Linked DNA regions of Rhinolophus ferrumequinum. The protein of the gene in region 1 purifies or fractionates together with the protein of each later gene. This does not show direct contact. Links are inferred from orthologs where the notes say so. Each region holds a gene or a part of one and is shown in the gene's direction. Other genes may lie near its edges.

Evidence for each region.
Region 2: the proteins of HDAC5 (region 1) and TBL1X purify together in Homo sapiens (affinity purification with mass spectrometry; 3 studies listed by BioGRID and IntAct, with this or other methods). This does not show direct contact. The link is inferred for Rhinolophus ferrumequinum from reciprocal best matches to the Homo sapiens genes HDAC5 and TBL1X.

The regions. Positions count from the first base shown.
Region 1 is NC_046304.1:39,223,842-39,230,676, reverse strand, and holds the start of HDAC5 (histone deacetylase 5), read left to right. Parts: upstream 1-3,831; 5' UTR 3,832-4,196; coding exon 4,197-4,347; intron 4,348-6,835. UniProt on the Homo sapiens protein: Responsible for the deacetylation of lysine residues on the N-terminal part of the core histones (H2A, H2B, H3 and H4).
Region 2 is NC_046284.1:119,930,559-119,938,307, reverse strand, and holds the start of TBL1X (F-box-like/WD repeat-containing protein TBL1X), read left to right. Parts: upstream 1-4,746; 5' UTR 4,747-4,859; intron 4,860-7,749. UniProt on the Homo sapiens protein: F-box-like protein involved in the recruitment of the ubiquitin/19S proteasome complex to nuclear receptor-regulated transcription units. Plays an essential role in transcription activation mediated by nuclear receptors.

The DNA.
Region 1 (6,835 bases):
GGGAAACGGAAGGAAACTAGAAGGTGGTCCATCCTTGCCCTCATAAGCAAACAGGTTAGTAAGAGAGGGTGTGTTGGGTGAGGGGCAGCAGGTGGAGACGCGGAGCAATTTACTTCTGGGGCTTACCCCTCCTTCCCAGGGAGTGGGAGCTGATCGACTTACCTCTGGGCTGGGCCAAACGCCAGCATTTGACCTGATTCGCCTCTTTTGCAGTCCTGGGTACAGGCAGGGGCCATTGATGGGAGTGCCTGCTTCCCTGAGGACGCCACGCCGCTCGCGGGTGTCTGGCAAAAGGGGGATTAAGCAGTTAGGCTTTCTTTATTTTTCTGGAGCTGATCACCTCTGCTCCCCTCAGTGGGATTGAAGGACTGGCGGAGTATGTCTGCTGCCTGGCTTTGGCCCGACCCGGTTGGAGGAGCTGCCCTGGGACCTGTGACCTAGGCCTGCTCTGGCCACGGCTCTGTCCTCTATGCCACTGCCCAGAAGAGAGGGCACGAGTGAGGCCAGTCTGGATGGCGACAGGGCTCCAGGAGGAGGCGGCCACGTTCCTCGTCCCCAGCGTGGGAGGGAGACAAGCTTCATGACAACACCCGCCTGCCCAGCACCTCCCAGCACACTCCACACTTTCTCTCCTTCCCTTTCCCAGGAGGGAGGGAGGGAGGGCAGCTGCCCCCTCCTTTCTGGGTGACCAGAGAAACTGGGGCATGGGCATGGGGTGGAGCCAGGAACCTCGGCGTCCTGCCTCCCAGCCTTGGGCTCAGGCTCTGCCTCTGAGCCCCTGGGGAAGGCGGGCAGCCAGCCCTGAGGAGGAGAAAGTGGGTCAGTGCCAGCGTGGGCTGGGGGTCCGGGAAGTGGACTGCTGGTGTCCCTTCTCCACTTAAGTGCCACTTGGTGCATTTCTGTGCTCACTCCAGCTTGGGTTCTGCTCCACCTCCTCTTCCCTGCTCCATCATTCCAAAGGGATTGAAGGCTTAGAATGGGACGGTGGGAGGAGGCAGGGTCAACCCTGAGAGAATGTGGAAGATGCCAAAGTAGGTGTTTACGTTTTTCCTGGACTTGGTTTCAAATGAGAGGGTTCAGCCAGCACCTAGCATGGGACCTGGCACATGGCAGCTCCCAGGCGATGCCGACGGGCTCCAGCATGACTGGGCTTAAAGCGCAGGAGAGAACTGAAGGGCAGGCAGGCCGATGTCTCCGGGGCCCCAGAGAAGCTGGCACCCCACACTCCATCTGGGATGCTCCTGGGCCAGCCCTTGGCATTCAAACTGTGCGCAAGGCAGACATTGCTTTCTTCCTTTTGGTCAGGCCTCATCCCAGCCTTTTGGGCCCAGGAAATGAGAGCCTGGAGGAGCCCCCAGGAGCCAGCATGGGGTTCCCCTCTTCCAGGTATAGGGGGTTGGGAGACCTGAGCCCAGCCTCCGCCGGAAGGAGCAAGGTCACTGTGGGTCGGAAGGGATGGTGCCGGCTGCGAATGAGGCTCGTGTGGTGGGTGCTCTGTAAGGTTTGTGGGATGACACGTGGGGGTGTTGGATGGCTGAGGATGGAGAAGAGACGTGAACTACGAGGAGAGAGGGGCTAGAAAGCAGGAAGGATTGAGATTAGACATTAGGAGATCTCGTTGCATCAGCTGAATCTCAGAAGTAAAGAAAGACACTTGTCTCTACGTCAGGCGTCCTCTCTTGTTCCCCTGGAGGATTCGGGGAACTGCACTGAGGATTGTCTGGCTGTCTGATACTTTGCTTCCCACATCATGCTGTTACTGGAAATTGTAACAGTGCTGGTTACTGCCCCAAGCCCCTGGCTTTGGCCACGACTGGCTGTCAGTCTCCTGGGTGCTCCCATCTTCCCTAAGCAGAGAGTTCTCTTTCTTTAGGTTTCTGGACACTCCAGGTTCTGCTTCGAGTCATTGTAACAGGTGACTTCCTCTCCTCCAGAACAGGGCTCCCCTACCTTACTGGCTTGTGCCTGGGGCAGACAGAGAGCGCCAGGACAGGGCTAGCCAGCCCTTCCGGTTGCTCCTAGCTTGTGTGGGTGGAGTACTGAGCTGGGAGAGGCTGCTGGCCCCAGCTTTCTGGGCTCCCTTGAATCTGCTGCCTAGCACCCCACTGAAGGGACCTTGGCCTTCCCTTCCCCTCCCCTTCAGAGAGCCTGGTTGGCCAGGAGGTTGGGGCTGGGAATGGTGAACGAGGGCCCCAGACGTATCCTGAAGTGTCCACCCACTCCAGACCCCTGTGAGCGCCCTGCTTCATCACCATTTTTCTAGAGTTTGCCCTGGCTCCAAAGGTGAGGCTGCAGATCTTTATTTAGGTCCTGTTCCCCCACACCCCATCCCCAAATATACATCTTGCCAGCCAGTCTACAGCCTGGGAAAGCCCACCTCTGCCACCTCCCCCATCCATAAGGTCTCCCACCTGAGGGCAGGAGGCACCTTTGTCATCCCTGGCTAGCAGAAGTCGGCTGGGAAGATGGGCTTCAGGAGCCACCGCCACTGTGTCCTTGGTTGGCCAGCTCCTCCCGGGCTCCTGACAAGAGGGTGAGGTCATCCAGTCCAGGGAGAGGACAGGTGTCCCTGGCTCCATGCCTGCAGTTGGGGGCAAGAAGGGGCCAGGAGGGGGCTCCAAAATAGCAACTGTGACATCAGGAAGGGGGAGGGGGACACAGACCCAGGAATAACCAGGCTATTAAAAGGCTCCAGTGAGGTCAGGGGGCCAAGTGGGACCTCTGTGCCAGTGGGAGGCACAGCCTGAGGAGAAGGGACGGGTCAGCAGTGGGCCGGGTAGGTGGGTATCACCAGTCCTCATGGGGCACCGGCCCGAGGTGCTAGCAGTGCCCCAGGAGCAGGGGTTCCTCTGCCAGGCCTGCGGCTGGTGGGGAAGAGCTGGATGTTGTCAGCCTCTTGACTGTTCTTAGAGGGGTTCCAACCTCAAGTCTGTTCCTCCCTGGGTACTGGGGGTCACTGTACCTGTTAACGGAAATGTTGGGGCAGTTTCATGTACTCCCACGTGCAGGAGGCAGTGGGCTGTGGTGATAGAGCTCAGACATCCCAGTCCTACCATTTAAGTAGCTGTGTGATCTAGGGTGAGTGACTTCATCTCTCTATGCCTCAGTTTCCTTGTCTGCACCTGTCTCTCGAGCTCATCATGCAGACTAAATGTATGTGCTACTGTTAGCATTGCAACTGGCACACTGCCAGGGAAGAGCTCCCTGTGCTCTGAGACTGGGCAGGTGCTCCCTGGTTGCCTTCCGGGCTGAAGCCCGTCCAGGAAGAGTCTCCTGGCCCCTGGAGGGAAGCGGAGCAGCCGCTGGAGGTGACTGTCATTTAGCTGCTGCTCGGGGGTCTCCCTGCTGGTTGAGGGGGTGGGGAGGCACCTCCCAGCTCAGGGAGGGCAGAAGTTAAATAAACCCATTTTGGCTGCTAGAAGGACTCCAAGGAAAACACAAGGTTAGGGCCAGGTGGCCCTGTCTGCCACTCTCTCGCAGACCCTTCGGATTCCTTTACCTGCCCTGGATGGCGAGAGAGAAGATAGAGGATGGAATCTGGTTGTTTGGTTTCCAGCCCCTCTCCAGCTCTGGTGCTGCTCCCAGATGCATGGGGACTCTGGCTGTGCCCTTCCACATCCCAGCCGCTGGCCACGGGCTCTGTGGCCTTGGCCCTGAGTGCAGGCCCTCCTCTGTTCCCATCCCCCTGCCTGGCGCTTCCTCCTGGGGTGGAGCTCGCCTCCCCCCATGGGGCCTCCGCCAGGCCTGGGCTCCTGGCAGCCCGCTCCACCTATTTATAGACAGGGCCCTCCCCCAACTGCTATTTCAGTCTCCTGCCAGCTGCCGGAGGCTCATTCGGGAAGGAGGAGCAGGGAGCCAGGCCCAGAGCTGTCACCCAGCGCTGGGAGGGAGGGAACACAGAGCCCGCCTGCCTGCTGAGCTCCCCTTCCTGTCCCCCAAGTGCTCAGCCATACCGCAGCTCCTGGGAGCTGGGGACAGGCTGGCGGTGGGATGCCCTTCTAGGAGAAAGGGGGGCTGTAGCTCGTGGGCCTTCTGGCTCCTCCTGCTGCCAGGAGTGCCCGGGCCGGATGAGGCACCTCCCCACAGCACGGGTCCCAGCAGCAGGGGCCTGAGGGAGCCCCTGAGCAGTGAGGGCCCCGCCCGCCCCACCACTTTCCCTTTGGCCGACTCCCGCCTCTGGCGGCCCCTTCCCTGGCATGCTGCTGGTGCCCAAGGCTCAGGGGCTCGTGGAGATGCTGCAGACCATCTATGAGACAGAATCCTGTTTCTCAGCAGATGGGATGTCAGCCCGGGAACCATCCTTGGAAATCCTTCCTCGGACCCCTCTACACGGCATCCCTGTGGCAGGTAAGTACCTCAATGTCCCTGCCTGCCCTCTGCCATTGGGCACCCAGGGCTTGAGCATTTGGCTCTGAGCCTTGCCCAGATGGGGTCCTGCTTAGATATCTCTGGGGGGCTTTGTGTTGAGAATATGGCAGTCAGTGGAGCCGCGCTCTCTGAGGTGGGTTTTCCTGCCTTTCCTCCAGCAGCACTCGGCTACATCCCTTCAAGTCTTTTTGGCCCCCAGCAGGATCCGCATCAGCTGCTGGGGGCTGTGGATGGCTAGAGAATGCTGGCGTAGTTGGCACTGTGGTCAGAGGGGAGGAAGTGGGTCAGTGACCTGTCTCCAGGCTGCCTGCCCCCCACGTCTGGGCAAGGGAAAAAGCCAGAGCTGAGTGTCCACAAGAGTAAAGACTACCCCACCTCCTCTGGCTGGGTTCTGAGGGGCAGAGCGTCCCGTGCAGTGATTTCTGCAAGTCCCCAGTCTAGAGTCCCCTGGGAGTCAGATATCTGGCAAGGAGGCTTGTGCAGTTGTGGTGGAGTTAGGCAGAGGCTAGCAGCTGAGCTGTCAGGGACCTTTGCTGCCTTAGCTCTTAGCTCCCCCATATGTCTCTTTCCCCCAGGCCTTGGTTTATTCCCATGTCATGAGGGCAAAGAGGTGTCTTCATATGGGCATGTGGACCCTCTTAGCCCTGCCACCTTCTCAGCAGGGACTTTTTTGGCTCTTGGCTGGGGGTGGGGTCCCCCAGAGCTGGGCCACTCCCTCCCTCCTTCCCTCCCAGGAACCTGTTGGCAGCATCAGGCCTTTCTGGCACAGCCTCCCCACCAGGCCGGCACCACAAGATGCTTCCTCGAGGGAGGGGCCTATTGGATTCATGCCCACTTGGCCCCTCCTGGCAGTGGCTTGGCACTTGGGTGTGGATGTCTGTATGTGTATGTGTATGGGAAGTCTTTGCTTCTGGATACGTGGGTGTGGGTCCCAGGCTTTGAACTGGAAGGTGGGAGCTGTGATTTGGCTTTAAACCATCCAGGGATAAGGTTGCAGCCAGACTGGGATGTGTCAGGATGAATGTTTTCGGAAGATTTGGAAAACCTTTGGAACAAGGCCTGTCATTTGCCTGGGCAAGGATGCCCATGTAGTCTCCTAGGGTAGGGGCATAACCCTGGGGACCGGCCCTACAGAATCCCCACCCAGTCCCCTGGGAAGGGATGTAAACATCTGGAGCTGGTCTAGCCCTCATCTAGTGGAGTCTGCAGCTCTAGCTAAAGACCCTGCCTGCTGGTCCCTGCTCCAAAGCCTCTAGGAGTCAAGGTCGTCTCTTGGAAAGCAAAGGACTGACTGTGCAGAGCATCTGCTTGGGGGCAGCTCTGCCCCATTTGGCAGATGCCCTATCAGCCCACCCACCCTGCCTTGTTCCCGCTGTCCCTTGCCTCCCAGCAACCCCTGGCAGTTGGCCTGAAGTTTCTTCCTCAGCATGTTTTCTCATCTTCTTTCAAGCTAGGCTCCAGGATTCTTGCAGGATGGAACCCTGCTACCCCCATCCCTTCCCTAAGGCTGCCTGGTCCCTGTCCCTTCCCCCCCCCAACACACACACACTGCCTAGCTTTCTGAGTGGTAGCGTGGTCCATGCTGGCAGGAGGGAGGCGTGAGTCACCTCAGCGGCTCGGGGAGAGGGCTAAGAATGTTCCCCCCTGCGCAACTCTGATGCTGTGTCTGTGACGTGGCTGGGGACAGATATAGGCCTGAGCTTGGCTGCCTTGTTTTTTTTTTTTGGACTCTGGAATGTAAATAGATGTTTCAAATAGAAACACTTTAACCTTTGGGTTAAAAAAAAATCTACCCTGGATAAACACGGCCATGAGGGCCCAGGCAGCCTGGTTTTCCCCACCCCCCACCATCTCTTGATCAGTCTCCAGACAGGATGCTAAAGCCTGTGGCTATAAAAACAGGTGTCCAGGGACGCTTCTTGAGTGGTATGTGCCACCAGGCTCTGCGTGTGAGTGCTTAGGGAACAGGGGCTTTCCAGGATGGACTGACTGTCTACTCCGTCCAGCAGCAACGGTTTGGAACCCTGTTTTCGAGGTGTCCTTTGCTCTCTGGGCTAAGTTGTTCATGGCCATTCCGCAGCATTAGCACAGTGCCTGGCACATGGGTGAGTGAGCCATGCTAGAGGGGCTGGCATCCAGGGCTGACGGCAGGATGCCTGGGCTCTGTTCTGGGTGAATACATATGGTGAGGTGCCCCAGCAGTAAGCCAGAGCCTTGGCAGACGGAGCGCATGAGGGTTGCGGGTCCCTCTGCTGTTCCTGCTTGAGGCAGGGGACAGATCACAGCTTCCACTAGGGCCATCCTAGGTCTTCCTTGATGGCTCCCCCACAACGGCCCAGCACACAGTGGGGACTCCCTCATCCAGGCCTGGTCCTGGCTTGGGGAGCCCGGGAGCTTGGACTCTGGTGTGGGATTCCCCAGGACGCAGAGCTGGGGGATTTCCTGCCTCCCTTCCGTGGGCCTGGAT
Region 2 (7,749 bases), on another chromosome or scaffold:
AGTTTTCTCCTCTGACTATTGGACATAAAAAAGTCCCTGCCCTTCAATATTACTGGGGGGATCAAATGCAATACGGTGCATGAACACCCCCATCCCAAATACAAGGTATTTTCAGGATTCTAATGATGTGAACGGAAGGTAACATTCCAAATGGAAAAACATAGCAACAACTCACGTGCATTAGTCTGCAAAAGCTGCGGTAACAAAGCACCACAGACTGGGTGGTTTAAACAACGGAAATTTATTTCCTCACGATCCTGGAGGCAGGAAGTTTCTCTCAGGTCTTCTCACCTTGGATTGCAAAGCGCCTTCTCCTTCATGTGTCTTTGTGTGGTCTTCCCTCTGTGCCTGTCTCTGTCCTCGTCTCCTGTTCTTGTAAGGACTCTGGTCACATTGCATCGGGACTCATCCTAACGACCGCATTAACTTATTTACCCAACATGAAAGGCTGTAGCTCCAAATACAGCTGTTTTCTAAGGTCTTGAGGCCTGAGGGAAATCAGATATTGGATTCAAGGAAAACTGGGCAGTAAGTCGCACAAGAACTCTCATAACTTTAATACCCCTTCCTACGACCTTTTTTCTAAAAAGACAATTTTTTAAAGAACAGAGTTTCTGTGCACAGTTTCCTTGTTACACCCCTCATACACCGTTTGCAGTTTAACATCTTTCCTAAGTGTGGCCCAGGTGTCACAATTAATGAATCGATATTGATAAAACCCATAGTTTCCATTAGAGTTCACTCTTTGTGTTGTACAGTGCTACGTGTTTGGACAAATGCAAAACGTCACGTACCCATCACAGGATCATACAGAATATTTCACTGCCCTGAAAAATCCCCTGGGTTCTGCCTATTCATCCTTCCTCTCTCCCGTTCCCAGGACCCTTGGTAACCACTGATCTTTTTAATTTTGCCTTTTCCAGAATGTCATGGAGTGGGACTCTTATGGCACGTACCCTTTTCAGATCACCTTCTTTCACTTAGCAGCATACATTGAAGGTTTGTCTATATCCATTCTTGGTTTGATGGCTGATTTCTTTTTGGTGCTGAATAATATTCCATTGTCTGGATGGACCACAGTGGACATACCCATCACCTACCAAAGGTCATCTGGTTGCTTTCAGTGTCTGCTGATGAGTAAAGCTGTTATCCACATTCCTGTGTAGGTTTTTGTGTGGATGTTTTTCATGTAGATGGATAAATACCTAGGACCATGGTTGCTAGATTGTGTAAGACTGCCTGCTTTGTAAGACAATGCCAAACTGTCTTCCAAAGTGGCCATATCATTTTGCATTCCTACCAGCAAAGAGTGCATGCTGTTACCTTTCGGTGTTGTCATTGAAAACCTTTTCTGGGGCCATTTTAATAGCTGTATGGTGGTGTTTTGTTATCGTGTGCAATACGATAGTGGCATACGATGGTTATCATCTTTCCATATGCTGATTTGCCATCTCTATATCTCTCTTGGGTGTGTTTTGTGTGTTTTTTCCCCAGCTCTTTTGCCTATTTTGATTGGATTATTTTCCTATTGTGGGGTTTTAAGACTTCTTTGTATATTTTGGATATAATCCTTTATTAGATACGAATTTTGCAAATATCATATTCTCACCCAGTCTGTGGCTTATCTTTTCATGCTCTGAAGAGTGTCTTTTGCAGAGCAGATGTTTTTAATTTTAATAAAGTCCAACTTATCAAATTTTTTCCCCATGGGTTATGCTTTGGGTGTTGTATGTTTCCTCCCATGTTATCTTCTAGGAGTTTTATACTTTTGCCTTCTACATTCTGAGTTAATTTTTTTTTTTAAACCAGTGGAAGGTCTGTGGCTAGATTATTATTTTTTTTTTTGCATATGGATGTTCAGTTTTTCTAGCACTCTTTGTTAAAAAGGATATTCTTTTGCCATTGAAATTCCTTTGCTACTTTGCCAGAGATTATTTGAATATATTGGTGTGGGTTCCTCCTGTCTTTCAATTAACATTTTGGCTACTGCTTAAGGGGAATGCTGATAGCATTTGTTGCAAGCAGATTCTTATACTCCGGCTCCCTCCCGTCAGCAAGGAAAAGTAATTGTTTAATACGCAGATATTGTGCTGTGTCTACCTGTAGAAATCACTGCTGTTCACGACCTCATATTTACTTTTATCAGAAAGCACTAGTCCCTTTCCTGCTCTAATTTATTTCCCTCTTTCCTTGTTTTCTCCCATCTTACAGGACTGCACCCTTGCAAAATTTGCAAAACAGAGTAAAACAAAGTAGTCTAATTTACCACCTACCTACCACCATCTAGCATTTCAGAAAGAGGAATTTCGGTGATATTACGATAAACATAAGTCTGTCTCTTCCTGTCTGAGGTCTTACAAAGTCCCATGGGGGTGAGAGGGTGGGGTTCCTTTGAGTCTACGATTAAAGCACTAAGCTGCTGACTTGCAAGAAGACCGTTGGGATTATTGGGACATTATCAAACAGGCGAGGCAGATTCTGAGCTCACCTGCATTGCTAGTTACCCAAGAACAGCTGTAAAAACTGGTCACACTGGGTCATAGTTTGGAGCGAGGATTTCCATCCCTTTCCCACACTTTAAACGATTGGCATCTGCCAAGTAATCAAAACATACCAAGAGGCCTTTCACCAAGCTCAGTTTGGAATTTCCAAGCGGCTAAAGACAGGCAGAGCCGGTAAGCCAGACAGGGCCAGTTTGGCTGCGCGGTTACTCGAGAGACTGCGGTAGCCGAGGGCCGCGTCCGGGTAAAGCCGAAAGCTGTAATGATGTCAACTTGTTATTTACTTTCCAAATCTGAATGACTGAGCCAGGCGAAAGGAGAATCAATCAACCACAATGTGACCCTACAGGCGGAAAAAACGCCGCGCTACCCTCAGCAGGCGGTGGGGGAGGGGAAGCACGTGTAACCGGGGCAGGGTTGCATCATGAGCTCGCTCGGGTTTTCTATTGCACCCTCGGTTTTTCGATTGCATGTAATACCTCTCAGCATCAGCCCGCACAAGCCCAGGGAGTCCGGGAGCAACGAAGGGCAGGCTCGAGGGAAGGCCCCACCACGTCCTTTTGGGGGTGGTCTTGAATGGCAACTGATACGTAATAAGACACAATCTATTCTGCTGATTCACAATTATGGAGACTGTGTAAGTGTGGATTTTTTATTGACGTGCTCTATAATAATGGTGTAGCAACAGTCGTTTTACATCATTGACCTTTTACAGCAATATATGGCAGGGTAAATCTTAGGTCCGCCTTTCTGATGGAGGACCAGCCCCTTAAAAGCTCACCTCCGGCCCCCTTCCCTCGGCCACCAGAACAACAAATGGTCCAGTGTCCCAGAAAAGAGCAAGTGAGGTTACACTTTAAAATGCTGAGTGTACTGGGCTCTTAGCGGGAAGCTCAGTGTACACCAAAGGGAGGGGCACACTTATTTTAAAATATTCAACAAAGCAGACACTGAAGGTGCTTGGGGTGGGCGCGGGTATCTATTTCATTGAATTAAGGCCGCGTGGGGTGGGTAGTGGTCACCGAAGTGGAGGGGAGGAAGGGACGCTGGGGATTGGGGGGCACCAGGGCTGGGCCAAGCAAGCCATTGCAACATAAAACACTTTGGAAATGCCCGAGGGAGGTCTGAAGCCTGCTTGTGGGGGTGGGGATAAGGATGGGAGGAGGTTCCCCCCAACTCCCGGAACCCCCACACCCCAGCTCCTGGCCTCCACCTCCGTGTGTCTGAGTTTCTTTCTCCCCACGCGTTTCTGGCCCTTCCCTGTAGCTGTTTTTGCAAAGGTTGAGGGCTCCACCTGAGCCCCCACCTTTTGGGGAGGGGGAGAGAACACTGGGGTGTCCTCTAAGCCGCGGATTTTGAGGGACATGCCCCCTGGGGCAGGTTACAAGGGTTCTGTTAGGGCAACTGGGCGGTTTCTTTTTTGCGGTGGGGGAGGGTAACACTCTAGCACCGGCCCGGGTTCCTTTCCCCTATGGAGAAACCTCGGGGGTGGTGGCCCCGGTTACGGTCCCCGCCACCCCGACAGTGGGGTAAAGACTGAGGTTTGGGACTGGGTGGGGGTAGACCGCGTTCCCTTCCTCCCTATGGAGGCCACGGGGAAAGGACTGGGTTCAGAGCTTGTAGGGAAAGGCCCGGTTTCCCCTCACCCACCCTAGGCGTGGGGGCAGGGGAAGCTTGGGGTGAGGGACGTTGCAGGGTCGCAGGTTCCCCCACCGTGGAGGAGGGGCTGGATTGGGACGCGGGTCCTCCCTAGAGGCCGCGGGGGAGGGGCAGTTCTGGGGCGCGGACTCTCACCCTCGCCGCCGTGGGGGAGGGGCTGGCCCGGCGTCCCTACCCCCAGTGGGGGAGGGTCTGGTTTGGGACGCGGTCCCCCAGGGCGCAGGGGAGGGGCCGGAGGGGACGCGGGTGCCCCTCCCCCGGTGTGGGGGGCTGGGGGAGGGGCGGGCCGGGGCGGCGGAGGCGGCCCCCCTGGCAGTCCTCCCGGCCGGGGTCGGCGCTCTGGCGGCGGCCGCTCCCCCCTGAGGTCACTGCCCGTGCCGGTCCCTCCCGCCGTCCCGCCCTCTGCCGCCGCCGCCGCTCCCGCCTCGGCCCCCCCACTCTCCGCGCTCGGGAGCCGAGAGCCGCCAGCGCCCCCGCCCCGCCCCGCCGCCGCAGCGCCCTCGGCCGCCATTCGGCACCGAAACTTTCCAGCGCCCGCGCCTCACGGGACTCGGCGGGGCGGGGGCGGCCCGGGGGCGGCGCGAGGCTGCTCCGGGGCGCCGGGCCCTCCTCGGCCGCGGCTCGGCCCGGCTCGGCGACGGCCGGCCGGAGGGAGGCTCGGCGCGGCGGCGCCCCACAAGTTGCCCTGCCCGCGGCGAGGTGAGTGCGCGGGGCCCGGCCGGCGGGCGCGGGGCGGGGGGGCGCAAACTTCTCCGGCGGGGGTGGGCCTGGCCGGCGGCTCGGGGCGCCCGCACGCTCCGCCCGCAGCCGGAGCTCTGGAGGGGCAGGTCCCCAACTGTCCCCGGGGCTCGGGTTGGGGTGCGGCGCGCTCCCTGCAGGCTGAACAATACCCCGAGGGGGCCGCTCCCCAAAGTGCCGGCGCGTGGGGGGGCTTCTTTGTTTTGGGGAGTGGGAGGCGGCCGGTAAGTTTGGGGAGGCGCTCCATTTGCCCCCGGGTCCCCTTTGTCTGCCGCCCCTGGGGCTGGTGGGCGAAGCTGCGGCGCCGCGGGCTCCCCCGTGGGGGAGGGGAGCCCCATTCATCCCGGGCTCCGGCCGGCCCGCCCCGGACCGGGTGGCCGCGCGGCGGCGCGCCGTGGAGTGAGTGCCGGGCGAGGCCCCGCGGCTGCTCTGTTTCCGAGGCGCAGAAACTGTCAAGGAAGTCAGAACCCCCCCACCCCCCGGCCCGAGCGAGAGGACCTGGCTGGGGGCGACTTCGGTGTGTGGGGGTCGCCCCTGGTGTGGCGGGGTCTGCAAAGCGCGGCCTGGGGAGGGTGCAGACCTGTTGCTCCCGGGCTAGGGGGAGGGGTGACCCCAGATTCGCGTCCCGGGCCCTGCTCCCGGAGGGACTTTCCCCACTGGGGACCCGTCCTCGGAACCGGGTGGGGGTGCGTCTTCGGGTGTCGGTGGCTGCCGGGCATGTGACAATTGGGGGTCACTAGAAGCCAGCCCGCGATGGGTTGGGGCCTGGACTTCGCGTGCGTCGCCCGTGCGCGGTCAGGCCCGGGCCGGGGCTCGCTCCTCGCTTGGCCTGGGGTTTTCCCGCACAACTGCATGGCAAATTCCAGAAAGTTAGAGTCGGAGGTCATGTTGTGGATCATACCCCCCAAAAAACAACAACAACAACAACAACAAAACCCCCACCCACCCAGCCCCTATCGCATCTGCAGCTGTCTCTGCTTTGCATTGTCACATGTGGCTTGACCTGACTTCTGGATGTTTTTCTCTCCTGACGCGCCGCCCAAGTCCCTGGTTTAACCTGGAAGCGCAGGGGCGGGACTCCAAACCTGGAGGGAGGGGGACGCCCTGCTGAGGTCCCCAGCGGTGGCTTGGGGTACAAATGGCTCTGGACGATTTTAGGAAAAGTTTAGAATTAGTCATTCCTAGAAAAGATGCTTTTAGGGGGAAAAAAAATGTTGGAGTATGGAACAATTACGACGTTAAGATGACGCTTTTATTTTAAAGGACGCTATGTGTCAAATGTGCTGCAGATTTTGATGGAAAACCACCCAGCTGGGTAAATAATCCAGGGATAAAAGTTGAAGTTCGTCACTTGAGCCACTTATTAAAATAGCCCCTCAAGGGGATTCCAGCTCTTCCGTGTACACACACCTGTGGGACAGAAATGGGGATTTTTGGTGGTTTATTTGGTGGTGTACATTTGCCCCTTCAGTGGGCTAGTGATGTTTTCCTCTGCCAGTAGTTTTAAAGAAGAAACTGTTTGCAAAATAACAACAATAATAATGATCACCGTATTATTGAAGATGCCCAAAAGTGAATGTTTCAAAATCTGGGGTGCTTTCACCAGTTGTATCCGTAGCATGATTTTGTACAACAGTATCTTAGTAAGGAGGTACCTCCCCTTTTTTAGTGATGGATAAACATTTATTCAAAAATGTACCCAGATAAGATACTCTGCTAGGCCCAGAGGGACACCAGGAGCAAGGTGGGCCCCCTTAGGGGACAGTGGGACGTGGGAAGGGGCCACTCGCCAAGAGCAGCGCACGTGTCTGCGAATCCTCTAGGATTGACTCTTGTGCTTTTATCCAGGGCTCGGTCAGTCCAGGAACTATCAACACCCCCATTTAAATGTCACACGTGGATCCCTAAATCTGCCAAACCCCACCCTTCCTGAAAGGTTGGGCGTCTTGGGTAAGGAGAATGTTTGGTGTCTTTCTGGGCCTGGACCCCCATCTGTATCTCTGGGAGCTTCAGCGTTCCGTTTGTGTGATGACATCATGAGTCTGCCTCCTGTTAGGAGACTTTCAATGGGCTTTGTGGCCCCCACAGTGGTGAATAGGGTCCTGGAGTCCAACTGCATCATGACCAGTGACATTTGGCTATCCCTGTGTGATTTGAACGAGTCCACCCTGTTCCTGCTCCACCGTGGCTCTGGAAGTCCTGCACCTTGCTGAGCGTTACTTTTCTGTGTGTAAAAATACAAAGGAGAACTGAAATCGCTGTACTCACTAGGCAGTGTGAGGACGGGAAGAGAATGTATGTGAACTGGAATGGAAAGCGGCCTGTAAATGTTAGCTGTTGGTCTTGGTGCAAAGAGAACAGTTGTCTTTATGCGACTTGAATGCCATGCCCCAAGGAATTCCCGGGCCTAACTCTATACTAGCAAGTTCCATGCCACAGCATAGGACGCTGAAAGATGTTAAGTAACTTGGCAATACATAGTCGTGGAGGGAGGGTTGTCTGATTCCCAAAGCCCAGCTCGTAAGCTTGGCCTTTTTTTGTTTTGCCTTCCTGACTACCTAGGGTGAATTTTCCCATTTGGAGAAAAAAGCTGTTTAAATTACGAGTCTACACACACACACACACACACACTCACAAACGAGAATCTACATTGAAATCTGTGTATACGTATAAACATCTCTCAATAGAATCAGGAACCGTCTGTTTTCCTCTCTAGCTGTGTTGTCCAATGTGGCGGCCACCAGTCACGTGTGCATAATGAGGGTCGATTAGAATTCAATGAAAGGAACGGCTCTGTCCCTTTTGGTCATTCTAGCCTCAATTCATGTACTCAGTGGATGCCTGTGGCTAG